Coturnix japonica: one gene and its partner. The protein of the gene in region 1 purifies or fractionates together with the protein of each later gene. This does not show direct contact. Links are inferred from orthologs where the notes say so. Each region holds a gene or a part of one and is shown in the gene's direction. Other genes may lie near its edges.

Evidence for each region.
Region 2: the proteins of FBXL4 (region 1) and BNIP3L purify together in Homo sapiens (affinity purification with western blotting; 4 studies listed by BioGRID, with this or other methods). This does not show direct contact. The link is inferred for Coturnix japonica from reciprocal best matches to the Homo sapiens genes FBXL4 and BNIP3L.

What each region holds. Positions count from the first base shown.
Region 1 is NC_029518.1:65,224,431-65,234,863, forward strand, and holds part of FBXL4 (F-box/LRR-repeat protein 4), read left to right. Parts: intron 1-5,075; coding exon 5,076-5,147; intron 5,148-6,024; coding exon 6,025-6,337; intron 6,338-10,339; coding exon 10,340-10,433. UniProt on the Homo sapiens protein: Substrate-recognition component of the mitochondria-localized SCF-FBXL4 ubiquitin E3 ligase complex that plays a role in the restriction of mitophagy by controlling the degradation of BNIP3 and NIX mitophagy receptors.
Region 2 is NC_029537.1:1,742,268-1,753,196, reverse strand, and holds the start of BNIP3L (BCL2/adenovirus E1B 19 kDa protein-interacting protein 3-like), read left to right. Parts: upstream 1-4,861; 5' UTR 4,862-4,867; coding exon 4,868-5,051; intron 5,052-10,414; coding exon 10,415-10,601; intron 10,602-10,929.

The sequences.
Region 1 (10,433 bases):
GCAAGAGCAACTCACTGCAAAGACTCTTCAAGATGTGTTTTTAAAGGAGAGATAAGTAACTGAAATATGAGAAAAGAAATTGTGGTCTTTAGGAACTCTGTTAAATTAATTCCTTAATATTATGGAAAAAATGCAATATTCTCGTTGTGGTAAGCCTGCAAATATAGGCACGTTATCTGATATATGCCTGAGACTAATGTTATATAACTATTTGAACGTAAGCAGAAACAACAGGGTTGGGGGCATGGGGCAGGGAACACTGGGGATGAGGTTGTCATTTGGAACTGATAAGAAAAAATAATAACAACTTTGTCCTTTCATATAATACAATTATGGAGGGGAGGGGTTTACGCTTTTTTTTTCTACCCCTAACTTGAAATTTTAATTTTGAAATATATATTCATGCAAAACTCAGAATTTTTCATGTGTAAGTAGTTAGCCAAGGATCTAGTAATTCTGTGATTAAAAAATACAGGAAGCAAGGGAAGTCTAGTTTAAAGAATGGAGAAAGCAGGTCTTAACCAGAGTTTGAGATTTTGTCAGCATTTACTTCACTGAGGAAATAAGGAAAAAAAAATAAAGAAAAAAAAGAAGAAAAAATTAGAGGAGAACAAAAGTCTTGTAAAAGATTTAGGCAGTCTTGTTTCATTGAGGGGGCTGAAAGAATTCCCGGTCTATGTCAGACATGCTTCTTCTGATTACACTGTAGGGGAAAAAAGCTGTCTGTTTATTTATTATTTATATATTTTATTTCTTCTTCTTTCTTTTTTTTTTTTTTTTTTTTTTTTTTTTGACCCTACCATTAAAAGTAAAGGAAGTTTTAAAGATTTTTCTATAAAGAGTTTATAAAAATGTGTAGACCCCTCCCAGCCTTAGAAGTAAAACCATGTTTTTACTTTCTCTGTAGTTCTTCCATTAGCATTCCATAGGTAGAATGCACTGCAGTTGTTTTTGCACTTCTTATTACAGTATAGCCAGTATATCATAGCCATCTTCTGTATTTGTAAAAAGCTTAAGCATTTCTTTTATATTCTGGACTACTTGACAGTGAAACTGCAGTGAGTAAATGGTCCAAGACTGAAAGTGCATCTTTCACGACTGAGCCAAGTGTAGCACAGACAGAAGGGGCTTTTTTGTTTGAAAGGATATTAATCTCAGGATGTCTGTTGGATGCTTTCCTTATCATACCAACATCAGAAATAATTTGCACTTCTGGCTGGATCATGAATGCAAAAAGCCCTGAAAAAATGGCAGCAGGATTCAGCCTCACTAGGTGTATTACTCTTCATACCAGTATTCAATTTCTCCACAGTTTATTCAAGCCAGCTGCACTCTGGCAACTTGCAAGTCAGAATGTACGTGTGATGTTTAAGGTCTTCACAAAGGCAGGTAGGATGGAAATTAGTCCAGTATCAGCTATTTAATTGCTGTATACACAGCACAGAAATGTGTTCCAGGCCAGCTGTGTTACCGAATGAAAGACTTATTCATGTTTGGACAGAACTCTCCTGTCTCGTGTGGAATGAGTTAGGATTTCAAAAGGTAATCTCTCTCTTCTTGTCCAAAGCAGGATCATCTCTGTTGATGTCATTTCTGACATGCTCGTCTAGCCTGTTCTTAAAGACTTCAGAGACTCTTCAGGGTGTCTCCTTCCAGTTTCTGAGGCTTAGGACTAACTGTTGTGCCCTAAAATATTTCTGTAATTTGTTCTACAAGGCTGTGTTTAACAGCAGTATCATGTCAGCCTTCTGTGCAGCTCGATGCCAGTCTTCTCTCTTCAAGCAATTTGTGCATGGCTTCACCTGCATGCAGTTTCATCATCTGAAAACCATTCCTGGAAATGGATAATAGGATTCTATTTGGCTGCTTAGAACTGCTCTTCCTGCTGTTTGTGCCATCTTATGAAAATTGACTGTTCACCAGTTATTGCTTTGATTGGATGGCAGAAGAAATTTGGACTACTGAGGCATCTACTGTTTTCCTTCTGCAGTTTCAGCATGCATGAGGGAGAGCAGGTACAAAGCCAGCTCTTACCTTTGCTGCAGGGAATCCTTAGAAAGTCTTCAAACTATACATATCTTGGCTACTAAGCTCACAAATGAAGTGTTATGTGGGGAGTCTTTGATTTGACAGCCTCTGCTTGGCTGAGAAAGTGAAATTGGATTCTCTCTAGTTGAAGCTCGCTGGTCCAGAATTTAGGTGACCTCTGCTCCTCTTATAATGAGCTCTGACATCTGAGGTTTGGCCTGTCTTACAGCTTCAAGGTCAGGTGATTGCCTCACTCTTCTCTGCTTACATAGGAGTGTAATCACTCATCTTGTGTTCAAGACAAGTCAGAGAGATGAACTGTACAGACAGATGGCTTGAAACGGTCATGTTATTACAATGGTAGTTCTTTATATGCAGTGCGTATGGATTCTGTGAGCTGCCATTCTTACCTGCTATTTTGATGTCCTTTACCACCTGTATTCACAACTGACTGGGGCTCAACTAAGCATATTCAAAGAAAGGTGGTTGATATATATATATATATTTTTTATTTTTTTTTCTTTTTCTTTTTTTCTTTTGACATACGCAGAAACTGCCTCCAGTTACTGAAGAACAGACACAGCTTCTGAAGAAAGTCTGTTTTCTTGTGTGGAGGCATGCATGCACTCCAGAAGGGGAATTAACCTGCAATGAGTATAGCTACTGTCGAGTAACTTACTGTTTACTCTTGGGCTAGATTTGGCAGGCTGTGCTATGGTATGCTGTGGTGTTCTACCACAATGCTTTTTTATTACTCACATTTCTACTGCTTATCTTCTTCCTGTTGTTCTTTCGCTGTTTTGTTTTGTTTAAGGTAATACTTTAGCTAATACAAATTGTGAAGAGACCTCTAAAATGTGGACTCAGTGCATATAATAAAGGAAGGACTCCGCTGGACTAAAGTATTCTGAGAGAGTCACCAAATTCCCGTTCAAGTTAACACATCAGGTTACTTTTGTGATCAAGCCCACTATGAATATTGATCTCCTTACCTATTTCACTCTTCCCTGAAGGAGTGTCATTATGGAATAGATCTTGCATTCTACAGTCTGCTCAGAGTATCTGTATGCTTCTGAATTACGTCAATTAAGGAAAAGTATTGCTGCTTTCTGACCTTTCAGGCCATTGTTTAAATTCCATTGTAGAAACTATTGCAGGAAAAAAAAACCAACCGTGGTCAAATACATTGAGTTATTCAGTTTTATTGTAAAGTCAGAAAACCTGCTTAGCATTGGATGTTAAGAGACTGGTGTATTTAGCTCTGATACTTAAGATTTATAGAGAGATGTGAGGATTTATTTAATTTGGAAGTCTGAATGGGTTCTAAAGCTCATAGCTTTCAGGGAAGTAAAGAATAAAGGATGTCTCACTCCATTGGAGTTGCTCGTTTATTCAGTTTTAATGCTCCAAATAAAGTGCTTACTTAATACGTACTTTAGTTAAAACATATTGGATATATACACATTAACTAGCTTTAAAGCGCTCCTAAGTGTTACCTCTTTTATAATGACTTCTTAATGCTTTTATGTTTAATTCCCTAGTCTACCCTTCTCTTTAAAAACGTAAATGAAAGTCAATTGTGCAAGCAGACAGTTGCTTTGTAAGACCTCCGCAAAGATATCTGTGGGGAAGGCTTGTTTGTACCCTCAACCTTCAGGCTCCTTTTGGGAAATCAAATCTCGGAAGGCCAGGCTGGCAGCTGAAGTTCCATCCGTGTTAAGTGTTGGGTGTTTCTAATTGCTCCCTTGAGGTGCTTAAATTAGATGTCTGGAATGGTCTCCATGAATACTCTACCCACTGTCTCTGTTCTGCATCTGGCAGTGTTTCAGTGCAAGGAATCATGTAGTTCTTCACAGTACCATAAGAAAAGATAATGTTCCTGCTGCATTTCATTGGGATATAATGACTGAAAAAATTCAGTGAAGCATTTTACCATAAAGTCTGTGAAAACAAGCAACTTTATATTAGCACATATAGATAGATAGATTTTATAGTTTGCATGTCTACGAATTATTTGCTGGTATTCCTGTAGGAGTTCTAAGCATTAGCAATTCATCTTGTCCTTTGTATACTGCTTATTTTTTTGTGTATGTGAGACACTGTTGTGTATCCTATATACATCCACAGACTTTAGTTATTGATACGTTACGGAACTTACTGCAGTTTTCAGGCTTACAGAAAATGAATGAAGTGGTAGATGTTTGAAGTATGATGCACAGATATTTCTGTTTTGAATCCCAGGCTGTGTCCTTCTTTGCTCTTGAGTGTATTTCAAGCCACAAAACAGAATATGGCTACAGACAATGCAGAGGAGTCTTTTCTCTGTCTTAGAAACACAAATAAAATACCACGAAGTTTCTCTTGTCATAGAACAGAATAGCCACGTATTTAACATTTTGTAAGATACATCTGCGTTCCAGTATAATTTCAGGCTGAGTAATGTGCAGTACTTTCTGAAAAGAATGGCTGTGATAAATGGCAGAAACATGACTGTAAAGTACACATTATATCTGTTTCAGCCTGCATGCTGGTAGTGACAGGTGCTCAATGGTTGTCAGCATCCCTGTCAGCACGGAGACTCCTTTGACATTAAAGTCACCAGCTCGGTCCCAATGCTGTGCTGCTCTATTGGCAGTTCCATCAGGCTACGGCTGATGGGAGAATGTCAGAGCTCTGCTGTTCTGCTGGTGTGTCACCAGCCCTCTGTGTTTTTGGTCTGGCCTCGCCTGCTGTTTGAACTTGCCACACTTATTCTTCTGTATCTTTCCTGGGGGAAATGAGCTGATAGGTCATGAGTGTATAGGTATCTTCAGGGCAATTCAAAACCACATCCAAAGTGACTTGTGTAAAGGTTTGTAATGATTACTGTTACTTTAAGCCAATCAATGGGCAGATTACCTGGGGACTCATTAAGTGGCATTTGTGGTGTCTGTAACAGAGTTTTGAGCTGTGTTTCAGGAAATGCAGTGACAGCCTTTAATGCTTAATTGACCTCTTCTCTTTGTTTCACGTTCCATATTTCCTTCTGATGCGTTCTCTGGTGGCAGCAAACAGCCCTGCTCAGTATCCTGAACTTCTGCTCAGAGCTTCAACACCTCAGCTTGGGCAGCTGCGTCATGGTGAGTAGCTAGAGTGCTGTGTTTCATAGCAGGCCAACACCTGTGTGTGACACTACAGTCATAAACACAAGAATGTTTTCAACGAAAGCTCTTTGAGTCATGTAGACATCCTGGGCACACACACACTGAATTAAAGGCAGAAAATACGGGCCTTGGAAATCCTGCACAGAGCTCATCTAAACTTTGTTGAATCTGCATGTCAGTCAGGGTTGTATGCACTGGGACTTAACTTTCTGTCTCTGGTGATAAATACATCTGGTAACTCATCAGGTAAACTTCCCTGCAGTTTCAGAAGTGACAAAGCAGAATTGACTCAGCCTTCCCAACTTTGACTCATGGCCAGAGGAGAAAGGCAGCGCATTATTTTTCCAACAACTCTAGTCTTCCTATGATTTTTGATAGTGTATTTCATTCCTTCTACCTGTGGAGTTGGGGTACTTTGAGCCCCTTTGGCTTGTCTGAGGTAAATAGTAAAGCTTCCATAATGAAGTGTAGCAGATGGTCAGCCTAGAATGGAAACTAGTGTCCTCTTTAATGCACATACACTTAGAGTTGCCATTCCTGTTGTCATAAATACAATTCTAATAATCTCTTGAAGAAAAGGAGAAGGTTTTCAAAGAAAATAAACTTCTAACTGCATTTTCACTGATCCTCGGTGTCAAGTGAATATAAAATCAGGTATGTTTGGGAGTAAATAGGAACTTTATTTTTGTTTTATGTAGGAGTAGACCTCAATGTACAGAGAGTAATTCTTGGAGCTCTTTAGAAGCAATGAATGCTTAAATGTTTCTGTAGATGTGTTAACAAGTGAATCTTGAAACACCTGTGTGTGTCTGGAAGGGCAGTATAGATGACAAAGTGTTTATTTTCCTTGCAGATTGAAGACTATGATCTTATAGCAAGCATGATGGGAGCAAAGTGCAAAAAGCTCCGCAGTCTGGATCTGTGGAGATGTAAAAACATAACTGAAAATGGAATAGCAGAGTTGGCTTCAGGCTGCCAGCTTTTGGAAGAACTTGATCTCGGCTGGTGCCCCACGTTACAGAGCAGTACAGGCTGCTTCACAAACCTCGCACGTAAACTTCCGAACTTGCAAAAGCTCTTTCTCACGGCCAACAGGTCTGTGTGTGACACAGACATCGAAGAGCTTGCAGCTAACTGTGCTCATTTACGACAGCTAGATATATTGGGTAAGAAAATATGGGAATACTGGTATATATTTTACTGTTCTCAGAAGCCTGTGAGTTATAAAAGAAATCCATGTGGTCAACCTTCTGCCTTATAGATGTATTTGTATATATTTATGTATTTGTATGAAAGTATGGCTTAGCTCATGAGAAAATGGGAGAAAAGTATTAACTGCAACGGTTTTCTGACATGTAAATTCTTTGGATTCTCCTGACTGTGTAATTTGATTGTTTAGTATTAAACAATCTTAAGCTGAGAATCGCGCGGATTTGTTCCAGTAACTTTTAGTTTCATTATATTAGTACATTTAATGGACATCTTTTGATTTTGCTCTCAGAAGATCCAGTCTCTTCTTCTTGTTCCTGCTTTTGTTTTATTTCTATGAAGTGTGACTAAGTATATTTATAGTTAATAAACAGATTCCTGCTTTTGCACAGTGCAGGTACACCAAGCAGCATTGACAATCTTTCTCACTTTTAACAGGAATTGAATTTGTCTTTCAAGAGAAAAAATGTAATTAATAACAAAACTTTAAATGGAATTATCGCTGAGGTGAGAAAGAAGTGATGAGGTGCAGAGAATGCATCAAATCTTAGATTTCTAATTCTCTGCGGTGTCAATAGCTAAAAATATTATGGGAAATCCAAATTAAATATACATTGGACTCTTTGGGAGTTGTAGTTTTATTCTTTCTGCAGTGGAATGTGAGGTTATCTTTAAAAGGAACAGTCTGTGACGATGATGGTAGCCTTGACGTTGATGTAGGGAAAATTTCTCCATCTTCATCTTGACTTATTTTCACAGGGTTGGTTGAAAAACAAAGATTTAAATTATGAAAGATAAAGTAGCTGCATTGCCTATTTTCAGTATTAAATAACTTCTGAGAAAGTAGTACATTTGGGTTGGAAGTGATGCTCCAGAGAAACAGTGCCTTCTACTCAAAATGTTACAGGCAAACTTAAGGCTTACCAGTATTTCTCAGTACAAAATTTACCATATGGCTGCAAGTTGTCACTACAGTATAGATAGTAAATGCTCTTTTACCATGACATAGTTTTACTCGTCTATAATTGAGAAAGCCACCTTCTCTCCAACATGGAAGGAGAATGAACAGATGGAAACTTACATCCACTTAGTAAATATTATTTTGGATTAATGCATAAGTTTTCAGGTGGTAATGTATGTTTTTGCCTGTGGTTAAGGGAATCTGTTTTGTAGCAAGACTATCAGGGATATACATTTCACTGTTCAGACATGAAACGTTTCCAAAAGGCATAGTGAATACAGTCTTTCATAAACATGTATGTTCTCCTGACCACCCACATACATGCTATTACAATGGAATTGTGTCTGCCCACAAATTGGTCTGACCTTTTCACTGTACCAAAGGCTGTGGAATGAATAGCTCAGTTGTGTTAGGCCTGCAGATAAGTCTGCTAGTTCTGCTGCCTCTCTGCCAGCACTGAAGGGGTATTGCCACGCTTCTCCTTTAACAACTGAATTCACATTTGAATTCAGTTTAACATCTCGTTGGTGTTTAGTAGAAAAATCTGAACATGGAGAGGAATTCTGTTCCATCCCCTAGGTGCCTACTGGCACGACTGGGTCAAGTGGGTTTGTAGTCAGCCTTTCCTGATAAACCTGCGTGTTGTGTTCAGCAGGGTGCTCTCTAGAGGATACCTAGTTGAATTATCCACAAGTTGTTACCAAAAATCTCTCTACTCCTACAATTTGCTTTCTTCCTTCAGAGGAATGCTTAGCAGAATACAACCTTTTGTTCCTCAGCTATAAGCAATCAATCAGTACAAGGTGATACAGTGTGTGTGAAGGAGCAACCCAGCTATTTTGGAAGCAGTAGGAAAACAACAAAGAAATGCCTGGCTTATACATGCATGTATTGAGGGTGTACAAGCATTGCTGCTAGGTTAGAGGTGCATGCAGCAGGGGAACTTACATTAAAAATTATTGGCCCACATGAAGCATTGTTTGATGGGTAGCTCTGTTTGAATTGTGTGTAAAGCATACTAAAGAAAGTTACTTAAAGCTCTGTTAAAGCCATGGTTTGGTTTCGTATCCACTGTATATATCATACAGTTTGGAAGATGTATGATGGAAGTACACCATACCTGATGTACTTCAAGTGTGTTTCTTGGGTTTTCTAGTTCTGATATTTCTTTTACCCATTACGTACTGAGCTGCCCGTTTACGAGTATCTTCTGCTTCTCTGCCTGCATCTTCTCCTGATAGACCAATAGACATGGTGAACTGTATTATTTCCCCTGCTTTTTGTTCACTTGAGGAATGTAGAGTGATCCAGCTATGACTGTCTGACATTTTTATATTGTTGCAGTACATTGTCCAGTGTTATAAAACTTGTAACAGAAACCTCATGTCAAGACCACCTAAATTGGCAATGCCAATAGCTTTAAATGTATGCTGTATCAGCTGCTTAGTTGCATTGCTGTAAGTAGTAGCTGCTATCGAGGCTATCTAACTATCAACTATGTAATTGAATAGCATTTTGTAGAAGCATTTGGATTTTTAATTTTAAAAGCTGAGATGGTCAAACAAAACTAGTTTTAAATGAAGATGCTAATGCAGTAGCAATTTTAGGCTTGGTAGAAGGAAGGTAGTGTAGTTTTTTTCTTGGAGTTTCAGCTGAAACGTTAGAGCAGTTTCTTCTGATGGGACAGTGATACTGTGGTGCAATTATGATTAAGGGATGTAAATAAAGAATATAACAAAATTTATGTGTGTGCTAATGGAACTGCTGTATCAACCACCTGACCACTGTGATGACAGTCACTGTGGTGACTGAAGGTGGAGTCACAAGTATACCAAAAATTTGATGATTTTTTTTTGCAATCTTGAAACTTGTTCTTACATTCCTTTATCAATACAGAAAGCACTCCTGCCTGTTCCTGCTGTTCGCAGGACTGTGCATAGCCAATGTGTCAAAATGCATAAAATTATTTGCTATAACTTGAGCCAGCGTTGCTCTGTGCCCTTCCTTGGTCAGCCTAGATAGTGTCAATCACACAGCAGTGTTTGGTTGTTGCTGAACAATGGTTATGCATCTGGGGCCAGGCTGAGTTGCTTGATGTGGAAGAGCCACCACCACAATAGTGTGACAGCAGTGGGGTGGGCTGCAAAATGAGCTGTGCCAGACCTTGGGTCGGATGTACCTGCAGTAAGGCGTGGGTCTCCTGTCAGTCCTGTGGCCTGTCTGCTGGGTCTGTGTGGGTGTCTGCGTGGCCCCAAGGGAGCACCAGGCACTTCACTTCAGGCAACTGAGTCATACTTCAATGACTTGTCAGCTGAATCATGTTCTGCACTGACTGGATTTCAGTCAGCTACAGTGGATGTGTGGATGCATTGTTGCTGATTATTATTTTTTTTCTTCTAAAAGTAACGTTATTGTATCTGTTGTAGTTTCTACGGAAATAAACAGGAGGAATGACTTTCAGATGTAAGAGAACAGTGGTAGTCTTTTTGAGATCTGTTCCTACATGATGTGGGTGTAATACATATAGCCGCTCCAGAGTCCTAGAAGCCTTGCTGATGTATTTGGGATTGGAAGAGCCTATAATAGCGTGTGTTGTGCCAGTCATTGCAGCCAGCAGGAAAGTCACAAGAACATGAGTGTCGCACAGTATTTTCCTCAGGCCAAAGCCTGGGATCTGGTCACTGGGTCTTGTAGCCTTGGGTACTTTGGTCAGCTTCTGTAACTAGAAATTTCTCTTGAAGTTGTAAAGTTTCTTCTAAGAAGCAAACAATCTAATTGAATAGCTGAGTTAGGAAAACACAGCAGGCTTCTTAAAGGCAAACATTGTACAAAGACTGCCACTGAGAAGTTCTTCATTTGAAATCTAATTGAAATAATGTAAACAAACATTGTACTACTAGCATTCTTTTCGTGCAGTATTAGCAGCTTTAAAACAAACAACTGTTCTTTTTTAACTTTGCATTTTTTTTTCTTTCTCTTTTTTTTTGTTTTCAAACAGGGACGAGGATGGTAAGCCCAGCTTCTTTAAGAAAACTGCTGGAGTCTTGTAAAGATCTCTCTTTACTCGATGTGTCCTTCTGTTCACAGATCGA
Region 2 (10,929 bases), on another chromosome or scaffold:
TTATAAGGCTCATGAGTTTTTACCTCCAGATATTTATGCTAATTGTGCTTTTAGGTTTACTCTTCCTTCAGGGAGGTGTTCAAAATGAAGCTTAAAGTCGTAGTGAACTCACCTTGACTTGGAGGACTTTCACTTTTCGGTTACCTAGATTTAAATTATTTCTATGGCTTAGTTATAGATGGTTATGATAACGCCTCTATTATTTGATCAACTGAGATACTGTTTCTGCTGTAAAATTATGGCTGGATTAGAGATTGTTAACAAGACTACACTTGCGACCATACTTTAATTTCTTTAAGTCCTTGTGCAGTGGTTTGAAAATGTAAAGATGATAATATTAGATCTGGTTCTCTTAAATACAGTATTTGTCTTGTAACATGCATGCCTGACCATGAGCCTTTGTAAGGATTTTACCATATTTCACCTGTTAGCCTTGGTTTTGGTTTTTTTATTAATTTTCTTTTTAACAAAGAATAAGTGCCCCAGGAACAGCAGCTGTTTTCCAGTGGGTGAATAATACTAAATAGCAGTTAAGGAAGCTCGTTGGTTGTTGTCCATAGAGGTGTTTCATGGGATCAGGCCCAACGTTTATTCATTACCTTATCACAAGAGCAATGAGGAAATCAGGCACTACTTCAGCAACAGAGCTGATAAAAATAAATCATCTCCGTTTTGCAGAGAAGGTTTAATTGTTATTCTGGGAGTATCGAGGTTTGTGAGAGCAAGATTGCTGCTTTTACATGAGTATCTGTATATCCTGAATGGTGCACTGAATACACGAAGAGCTGCACAGACACAGCAGTGGGGTTGCAAAGACAGAAGCAAACAGGTAGATTTCACATAGATGAACGTGCAGCCTTCTAGCAATACTAACTCAAGCAGAACTGCCTCTTGGACCTCAGCTGTGCTTGTTGGGTTTCAGGACTTTTAAAGCTAGTCTTGGGAAATACTTTTGTTTTCAAGCAGTAGCGGTGATCTCTGGCATGATGTCGCTTGAGGTTTAACCTATCCTCAACAAAACCAGCTACTGACTTTGGTGTCATGCTATCCAACTAGATACTTCTCGAAACACACTGTCCATTGACATATGCTGTAAATCTTATATTTTATTAATAAAAGTATGCATAGAATACATCTTGTCAGGTTGCTTTTTATCTTTCTTCCCATCCCTTTTCTCTACTTACAGGCGTTTTTGAAATTACTCATCCTTCTTACTGCATGTTGAGTAGTACACCTTCTTGCTAGGTTCTGTGTTGTTATTTCTGGGTCTTAGCCTGGAGAGCTTGCCAGACAGGGTGGGTGGGTGTTAAGGCAATCCTGCCCTCCTCCATCATGTACAGTTAGATGAAAGCAGCTGCTCTGTTCTAGTGCTTTCTCTCCGTTCCCAGTGCAACCAGTGCAGCTGTTCAGTTCTCAACCCTTAAATACTGAACTGAACACGGAAGTTCTGATCCCTTCCCTACTGTCCATCTTGAAGACTTTGATACTACCACATAACTCACAGCTGCCACTTTGGTAGTTAATATTTGCAGAGCGGCAACCTTACTTCAGACCAGTGATACTGCCAGCAAATTCATTTGCAGCCTGTTATTATCTGACTGGTACAGGGCTGAGGTGCAGACAAGCTCTGTGGCTGAGGTCCCTTTGCTGCTTTTTTGGTGAGGAGTAGCTAACGCCATCAGATGTGCTGAATGTGGCAACATCCTACTTCTTTCTCAATGTTCTGTTGGGGCAGGGCTGTCGATTCCACTCAGTTGTCCTAAATTTAAATATATTTCTCCTTTTTTTCTCAGCCTACCTTGGAAATGCTGGAGTTGATGAGCAGATATTGGTACCTTTGTCCTCCTGGAGAGTGGCTGCTGCCTGTTGGAAGGCTGATTTATTGTTCCCTGCTCTGGAATTAGGCAGTCAGAGGGGTGACATAGCTAGAAGCAGTAGTTTCCTGTGCACTGGATTTTGTGTCTTCATCTCTGGCATTCCCGCCATAACTTCTGACTTAGACTGAGGTGTTTCCTTTTGCCCTTTCCCACATAATTAGCAGTTGCAAGCTGGACTATTGATGTAGAGAATTGAGGTGGGGAGAGGTGTGCTGGGACTGAGGTTGCTGTGTAATGACTACCGGTGTCTTGAATAGTTTCTATTGTTCGCTCACAGCAAATGCCTTATTTAACTTGGTATAGAAGGTTTGGGTTTGCAGAGAAAGGACTTAACGGTAGAAGTCACAGTAGTGGCTGGAATAGAAACAGCAGGTGCTTCTTTCTAGTGCGATACAGCTCAGAACCAAGAAGCAGCATGGATTTTCTGTACGGTCTACCTTTGAATTCTAACAATCTCTGCCTTTTGCAAACAATACATCTGTATTTGAGAAAAAAGCAGGTGTTTCTATATTTGTATCCTCCACTAGGAGGCAAAATGTTACCAAAGAGGTGGGTGGACAAAAAACACCTTGGAGCTGGGAGCATAAAACTGCACTTAGTTTGGCAGCTCTTAGGAGACAATCAGGTAGCTTGATGTGTTTGACTTGAATTGACTGATAGGCTTTCTGTAAAAAAAACCCTTTTTCTTGCACAAAAGACCTTTCCCAGATGTTTACAGCCGCTGTTCCTCTTCTATGATCACGTGGCTTTTTGTCCCTCCACCTTAACTACTGTCATAGCATTTTCCATCTGAGGATTCAATTAGTTTATAAGCATGAATTACGTCATTCAACAGCCTGAAGGAACCCGTGTAGTGGTTAGAGAACAGGTCTGAAAGTCAGGACTTCTGAATGCTATTTCTGGCTCTGCATTGACTCACTCTGTAATCTCGATTAATTTGTCTGACTCAGAAATGTTAATAGTCCCACTTTGCTGATAAATATTCATGCCACGAGCATTATGGCAAACGCTTCCTGAATGATGGGGATGACAAATGATGCTTGATGTTAACCTGGGATTGTTAGGATTGCGAAGTGGGATGGGGCTCTGTTCAGCATCACAAGTAGCTTATTTTTCTGGCTCTAATCTAGGACACATCCATAGCCTTCCTACCTGTGGAGGGATGTTTTATTAGAATGCCTAAATTGCTGCCACCTTTTCCAGGTCTTTTACAAGATTTAGTATGGATACGTAAGCATATATACAGTCCGTTTGGTAGGAAAGAGCAGCATCGTGTAAGGCAGCTTTATAATGTCCACACATCAGTATTTGGATGCTATTCAACGTAGCATAGATGAGAAAATGAAGAAAAATATTTGCTAATAATCCAAACTGGGATAACTATGAGAGTTGTACACACCCTAGTCCTGATAAAGCCCTGATAAAACATCTTTGCTGAGTAATGAGGAGATAGGGAAAACATTAATGTAAATGGGTCTGTTTGAATTTGTTTCAGTCTCTGATAGCAGCAGCGATACCATCACACAAAACAATGATCCCCTGCCCCTAATTATATTCTCAAGGCTGCTGATGGGAATGGTTTTATGTGAAGGGCCCATTAGTGCTGTTGGGAAGTAAAACGCTGTGTATATTTGTGTGGGATGGGATTGGTTACAGTGTTCCATGTGAGATACTTTAGGCCTCAGAACTGACCTTGGAGTTGAGGTGATGTCACATGGAATGAAGGTCGTAAAACCGATGTATTGAGAAATGAAGGCGAGTTAAATCATCTGCGGTGAAGTCAGTCTTGCTGGATCATTCTCCAAGAGAGTCCTGATGAGAAAGGAGATTAGAAGGAGAATAAGCCTAGTAAATTTCTTCTATCTGCAATACAAAGTATCTATGGGAACTGGGTCTGCCTTCAGGCATTTATATGCTCAATATTCAAGATGATATTGACTGTTATCTTAAAAGTCAAGTGATTTGGAAGAACCGTCTGTTCTATATATGGTTGTTTCATGTTAACTGCTTAGAATACATAATTGATGCAGAAGTTACTCTTGTAACTGAATTAACCTCAGCAAGGTAAGGTACATGTCAGCACCTGTATTTCACTGCATTTTAAGTATTTCATTGCATCTTCAGGTCTATTTTCCCTGGAAACTCAGTGTTATTCTTGTTCACAGCACAACAGTAGGTGCATAAATAGCCTGAGGTTGTCTCTCATTTTCATATTGAGAGGAAATGGGTGCAATTTCACTTTGTATAGGTAAGAACAAGTCCAGTTTTGTTATATAGGTGCCCTGTTCTCTCTTAACTCTGCCACCATTAAAGTGAACCGAGCTGCACGTTGCTGACTTAGGCTAGGCCTTAGAGGTGAGCTTTACATGGCTGTTCAGCACTGCTATTTCAGACACATTCCTTTTAGCTTTAAAAACTCAGTTAATTCATTCCGGGAGACCTCATTATGTTTCGTGGAACTACTATTGGAATTATTTGAGGCAAAATCAAGATGGCTGAGTGTGTGTGGGGGGGGTTGGAGAATCACACTTTGGCTGTATAGGTTTGGCTGTACAGGTTTGGCTTTATAGGTTTGGCTCCTTACCTCACAGTAACTGTGCTCAGAGATGAGGAAATACCTCAGACCTTCATGGGGATAGGAAGCACAGCTAGGCCCTGTGTGGCTGAAGTACTGTAAGCTGATAGCGTTGAATGGTAGAACACGATCCAAAAAGGCTTGGAATAGCGGGGAATGCAATCACTTATCTCTTTTAAACGATCAGTGAGGGGTTAGAGGTGTGACAGCGCTGTTTTCCATTCACTCTATGCCTGAGGCCCGCACCCCTCACACAGCGCGGCTTCCCCCTCACAGAACGCTCTTCCCGCCCACCCCACGGCGGCGCTCCGACTGCGCATGCGCGGGGGCGGCGGGCGCCATGCTGCGCTGCACGCGCCCCGGGGCTGTCTGCGCATGCGCGGCGGTGGAAGGGTGGAAACAGCGCATCTCGCGCATGCGCATTGCGAGGAGGCGGGGCGGCTGGGCCCGGAGCGGAGTCCAGGTTTGTTGTTGTTGTCCCAACCCCAGCGGCTCCTCCGTCTCCTCAGCCGCCATGTCCAGCCCTCAGGAGCCGCCGCAACACAACAATAACAACAACCCACCGGCTGAAGGGACGCAAACCGAACCGGGCCTCAATAGTGAGTGGGTTGGGCCGGGGGGGGGGGATGCGTGAGGGGGAGAGCACCTCCCCTATGAGGACAGGCTGAGGGAGTTGGGTTTGTTCAGCCTGGAGAAGAGAAGGTTGTGGGGTGACCTCATTGCAGCCTTTCAATACCTGAAGGGAACTTACTCTTCCCTTAAACTCTTGGAAAGGGCTGACAATAGCAGGACACGGGGAAATGGTTTTAAGTTAAAAGAGGGAAGATTTAGGTTGGATGTTAGGGGGAAGTTCTTCACTAGGAGAGTGGTTAGGCCCTGGAACAGGCTGCCCAGGGAGGTTGTGGATGCCCCGTCCATGGAGGTGTTCAGGGCCAGGTTGGACAGGGCCCTGGGCAATCTGATCTGTGGGGTCTATCTTGGGGATCTATGGGGTCTCTAAGGGGTCTCTATGGGGGTCTATGGGGTCTCTATGGGGGTCTATGGGGTCTCTATGGGGATCTATGGGGTCTCTATGGGGATCTGTGGGGATCTATGAGGTGTCTATGGGGTCTCTATGGGGATCTGTGCGGTCTATGGGGTCTCTATGGGGATTGTGCTGTCTATGGGGTCTCTGTGGGGATCTGTGGGGTCTCTATGGGGATCTATGAGGTCTCTATGAGGATCTATGGGGATCTATGAGGTGTCTATGGGGTCTCTATGGGGATCTGTGCGGTCTATGGGGTCTCTATGGGGATCTATGCGGTCTCCTGGGCAACCTGATCTAGTAAATGTGTATGTTTGGTGGCCCTGCTAGGCAGGGGGGTTGGAACTACATGATCCTTGAGGTCCCTTCCAACCCGGGTCATTCTGTAATGAGGGGGAGTGGGGTTGGGCTGGGGGAGCTGAGCTTTAGAAGTGGGGAAGGAGAGATTGGGTGCCCCCATGAGCTGTGGGACTCAAGGCCTGGGCTGATATGGAAGGGCTGAGGTGTATGGGGTGAAACTGGGGTTGAGGGGGTTTATGTTGTGGTTTAGAGCTGAGTTTATTCAACGGTTGGTGTTACCAGCTAAGATGGGGATGCAGCACGATAAGGGGGAGGAGCGTGAGTGTGGGAATGAGTTTATTCAGTGGCTGAGTCGATACCGCTGACGTGAGCTATTTTCCTCTATATCCGGCATCTGTGTCAGCTGCTCCCTGCATCCTTTTGTTCCCTGAATAACGCTCACAAGGAGCATCCATGGGGGCTCCGGTGCTCACCTGACAGACACTTATCCCATGTTTGAAACAGCTGCTTCGATGTGTGTCTGGTTGTAATTGTTAAGGATACCCCAGGTGAAGAGGTGAATAAATGATGTCAATGATTAACCATCCCTTTGGGGTTTATGATGAAGTTAAACTGACAGTGAAACGCGAGGGATGGTTGAGTTCTTGTAACTCGCTGTGAATTGCATTAAGGAATAAACGGCGGCTGGCCCATCACAGTAATGTTACACCTTGTGATAAGGAGGCTGTGGATGCCCCATCCCTGCAGGCATTCAAGGCCAGGCTGGATGTGGCTCTGGGCAGCCTGGGCTGCTGGTTGGTGACCCTGCATATAACAGTGGGTTGGAAGCAGCTGATCACTGTCATCCTTTTCAACCCAGGCCATTCTATGATTCTGTGATTCAAACTCATTGCTTCATTTATAAATTCCCATCTTCACTTCTGTACTTAAGTATTTTCACGCTGTTTTCTGCTGGTACATTAAGTTACTCTGCAAAGCTGTAAGATGGGAACCACAAGGGATGAATGCTGTAAGCCCAGGCTGGATCTGCCCACGTAGATCTTGCTGCTGGGTCAGTGCATAAAGGCTTAACAAAATCAATGTGATTACTGGAGGTGGTGAGCACAAGGTATGAGAGGAAATGCTCGGTAATCTGTGCTGGGTGAACAAAACAAGTGCAACCAATCAGCTGCACATGGATTTAGTCCCGCTTTCAGATGTTCAAGCCATTCCACAATGCTTTGGTGTTATAGGTGCATTTGCTGCCATTATATAAGCTTTTCAGTGACCCTTTTCAGGCTAATGAGTTTAGACACTTATTCATTTTGCTCTGTGTGTCATTTGTGCGTGTTTAAGGCCTTTCATTCAGAGATCTCCAAGCACTTTGAATTGAAGACCTGGGAATAAAACTGATAACTGAAGCTTTGCTTTGTTGGGTTCAAAAAGAAAACAAAAAAAGCTTATATGCTTTGGGATGCTTCCTCCATTTTAATTATTATAGAGCTCTGTTACATATTGACAAGCAATCAGTCCCACCTCAGGTAGGAACCCATCTAGCTCTGTCATGGAAAACTTGCTTAATAATTTCCCCTATGGGAGCATGACCAGCTTGCTTTATTCCCCTCTTGTTAATGTTGGACTTCTTAGTTGATTCAGATTGATCATAGCTCAGACTAATGAGCTGTTCACTGCTTTTAATTCTGCACATGCATATACCTGAAAACACTCTGGATTTCTCTATTTAATAGAAGCCTATGTGTGCATAGTGGCTGCACGCCAGGTGCCAGCCTGTTGGTGCTTCAGTTTTGCAACAGGATTTAGGAGGGTTTGCCTATGAACCGACTTAATGCTTCTGCTTAAGCCCTTGTTAAATGCTGATCCTGGACTGGTCAGCACGCTGTGGCTTCCCACTGATTGCATTGGGGTCCTGCTGAATTGGCTGCAGTGTAATAGAAATAGGGAGCGAATATCCTACAGTTTAATTAATTTCATTATTTCTGCCTGGGCAAGAAAATATGTCAGCTTAACTCTTAAAGAAGTCAGCAGATGTAACTGCTTATGAAGTGCAATAGGTTGGTAGTGCAATTCACATTAAGCAGAGACCTGGTATAAAATGGCTCTCAGAGTTACTGCTGTTGGTTTCTCTCTTCATTTGCAATAGAACATAGCCAGAATTCACATAATTTGGGAGAAATCCCATGATTTCAGAAGGGAAATAAACTCAGGAGGTTACATTGAAGGCTCAGGTGAGAATGCTGAGTTCTGCCATATCTCCAGCTTAACAGTCAGATGGGATATACAGTAAATTAAACACTCTGATGTGGGTGATTAACATCACGGCTGGTTGCTCTGCAGTATTTCCTTGTGCTGCTGCCCCCAAGCAGAGGCTGCCATCCCTCTGTTTAGCTCTACAAAGTTTGCTGGCTGCTCATAAACCTGCTGTAGATCCCAGTGGGAGGATGTAACGTGTTGTAGCTTGATGTCAGATTAGGCTTCTGTGAGTGTATTTTGATTCATTAAAAGTGAGGTCAGACAGGGAACGTGCTGCTGGTCATGTAAACCACCGCTCAGCGTGTTGGGACTCTTTACTCACAGTTAATTGGGCTGCTCTTCCTGGTGTGGCTGCAACATATTTTAGATAAACAAGGAGTTTTGTCAGTCCGGGTTGAACACCACTCACCAATAAAACCCTCATTAAACCCATTGCTTTGGAGGGCTGGTTGAAGCAGCCCGATATCTCCTAGGGTTGGTGTACGCTGTGTGGTTGTGTGTAAGCTCTGAGCACACCCAGATTCCTTGCTTGTGAATACAGATGGGGGAGAACAGGCTGTAAACCACCGGGACTCAGCAGAGCATAATATCCAGTGTTAGGAGCTGATAGCATGGATAAACTATTCCAGGTTCACAAAAACAGGTTGATAATCTGTGAACTCACTTGGTCATACGCTTCCTGTGTCACTAACAGAGCCAAAGCTTAGGCTGTAAAAACAAATGAAGCCATTAAAGATGCATTTCATAAGACAAGAAATCACTATTGAAGTTTCAAACCATCTCAGGTAATTTTAAGGAGTCATTTCAGCTATTTTGTTGGTATTTTTAGGCCTTATTTTCCACTTACCTTCAGATAGAGTCAATTACATTTCATGGAAGCCTGGTGTTATATGTGTGAAATCCTTATCTCTCTGATGATGGGAAATAATGTTGCACTGAAGATGTTATACTTGTGAGAAATCAGAGATCTTTGCTCTCCCTAATCAGGATCTTCTCACATTATTTATGTACAGCATTAAATAGAAACAGCATTTATGTTCAGGAAACTGCTGTGATCTCTTTGGGTGGACATAGGAACTTTATAGACGATAGAATGAATGATGTGTCCTTTATGTTCTGATGATGTTTCAAGTAGTTCATTGTGTTCGCAGCTCAGTTTTTAATCAAGTCTTTGAAATGGTGGCTCCATCAAATGCAAAATCACTTATAGGGTTATGAACGTGATTGAAAAGGGTTTAACAGAAAGGCCTATAGACCTTACAGCTTTATTGACAGAATGAAACATCAGAAGGTCCTAAGTGCAGATATTTTCTTACACAGACCCTTAGAATGAAGGTAAATGACAGGATTCTACAGCATAGATAAATGCAGTGTGGAATTTAGTGATTGAGGTGATAACTGCAAAAGGAAATCTATCAGTAGTCAGCTCTGTCAGGCCAGTTGGTCTTCTGTGGGCTGTGCAGTCATCTGATTCTTGGTTTATATCTTAATGAGATGGTTGGAGTTGCAGTTGGATAGGGAATGTATTTAAATATTTGGAACAGAATGAAGGGTGGAGATCTGTTCTACCCCTCAGGACATTGAGTGGTAGGGTACAAATTGAAACACGGCTCTTGGGAACATGGTGGTAAACGCTGGTTTTTTGTTTATTTAACCTGCACATTAAAGTGCAACAGGAACACAAGAAGTTCTATCTCAATCTCAGGAAGCATTTCCTTATTGAGAGCATGGGTTGCCCAGAGAGGTGTGAGATCTTATATAGATATTCAGCAGCTCTGGGTGGCCCTGCTGGGCCAGACTTGATGGGCCCAGAGGTGCATCAACCCTCAGCTGCGTTGTGGTTCTGGGGATACATTCATGTTTGGGATCTTTTTTCTTGTATGACTTCAACATAAGTAAATGTGAAGGCAGAGGCTGGTTTGGAGATGAAGGCCTTTGGAAGTGGAAGGAAGAAGGATGGTATAAATTTGTAGGTTGGGGAGTTCTATGGAAGCAGGGCTAGGAGAATAGAATAACCTTTGAAAGAGGATATTAGGAGCAGAACAGGGAAGGGGAGTGATTAGTATAATTGAGTGCCACATAGATAATGGAAACTTCAGACTATAGAGAGAAATGGGGTCTGTTAAAGTATTAACACCTGGGAAGATGGGGGGCAGTTAGTGTGCCTAGCTCCAGAGGTAGGAAGCAACATAACATTATGGGGTGGTTTTTGTGCAACAGGAAGAAACACATCAGCCTTGTCTTCAGTACGTGTTTTTGAGCTTTATCCAGCAGCGGTGTTATCTGAATTCACCATGTTCAGGGCTCTTTTGCTGTGTGTAGTTGATAAACTTTACTTGGTTTTAGTTTCGCTGCTTTTAATGAAATGATGTCTGTCTTGCCCTACAGGTTCCTGGGTGGAGTTGCAGATGAATGGCAATGGCAATAGCAATGATAATGGCAATGGGAAAAACGGAGGGCTGGAGCATGTCCCATCATCATCCTCCATCCATAATGGAGACATGGAGAAAATCCTTCTGGATGCCCAGCATGAATCAGGACAGAGCAGTTCAAGAGGTAGTTCCCACTGTGACAGGTAAGTGAACATTGTCATAAGCCATTTAGGGTATGAAATATTAGCTTTACTGGTTCATTAGTAATAATGTGATATATATATATATCCTTGTTTTCAGTCAAACATAATAAAACGCATCACTGGACTTGGCAGAAAAAAGGACACTTGGAATTTGTACTTCCTGCTTTCAATATTCTGCTGTTTTTCCTATGAAGGCAGAATATCTTTGCCTGGCAATATAATCCCTCGAGGCACATGTGAGCAGTATGGTATTCTTAGTTCTTCACTGTGCCTTTCCATTGAAGGCTTTAGGCCAGATTTGTAGGTCTGTGACTGGTTTCTATAGATA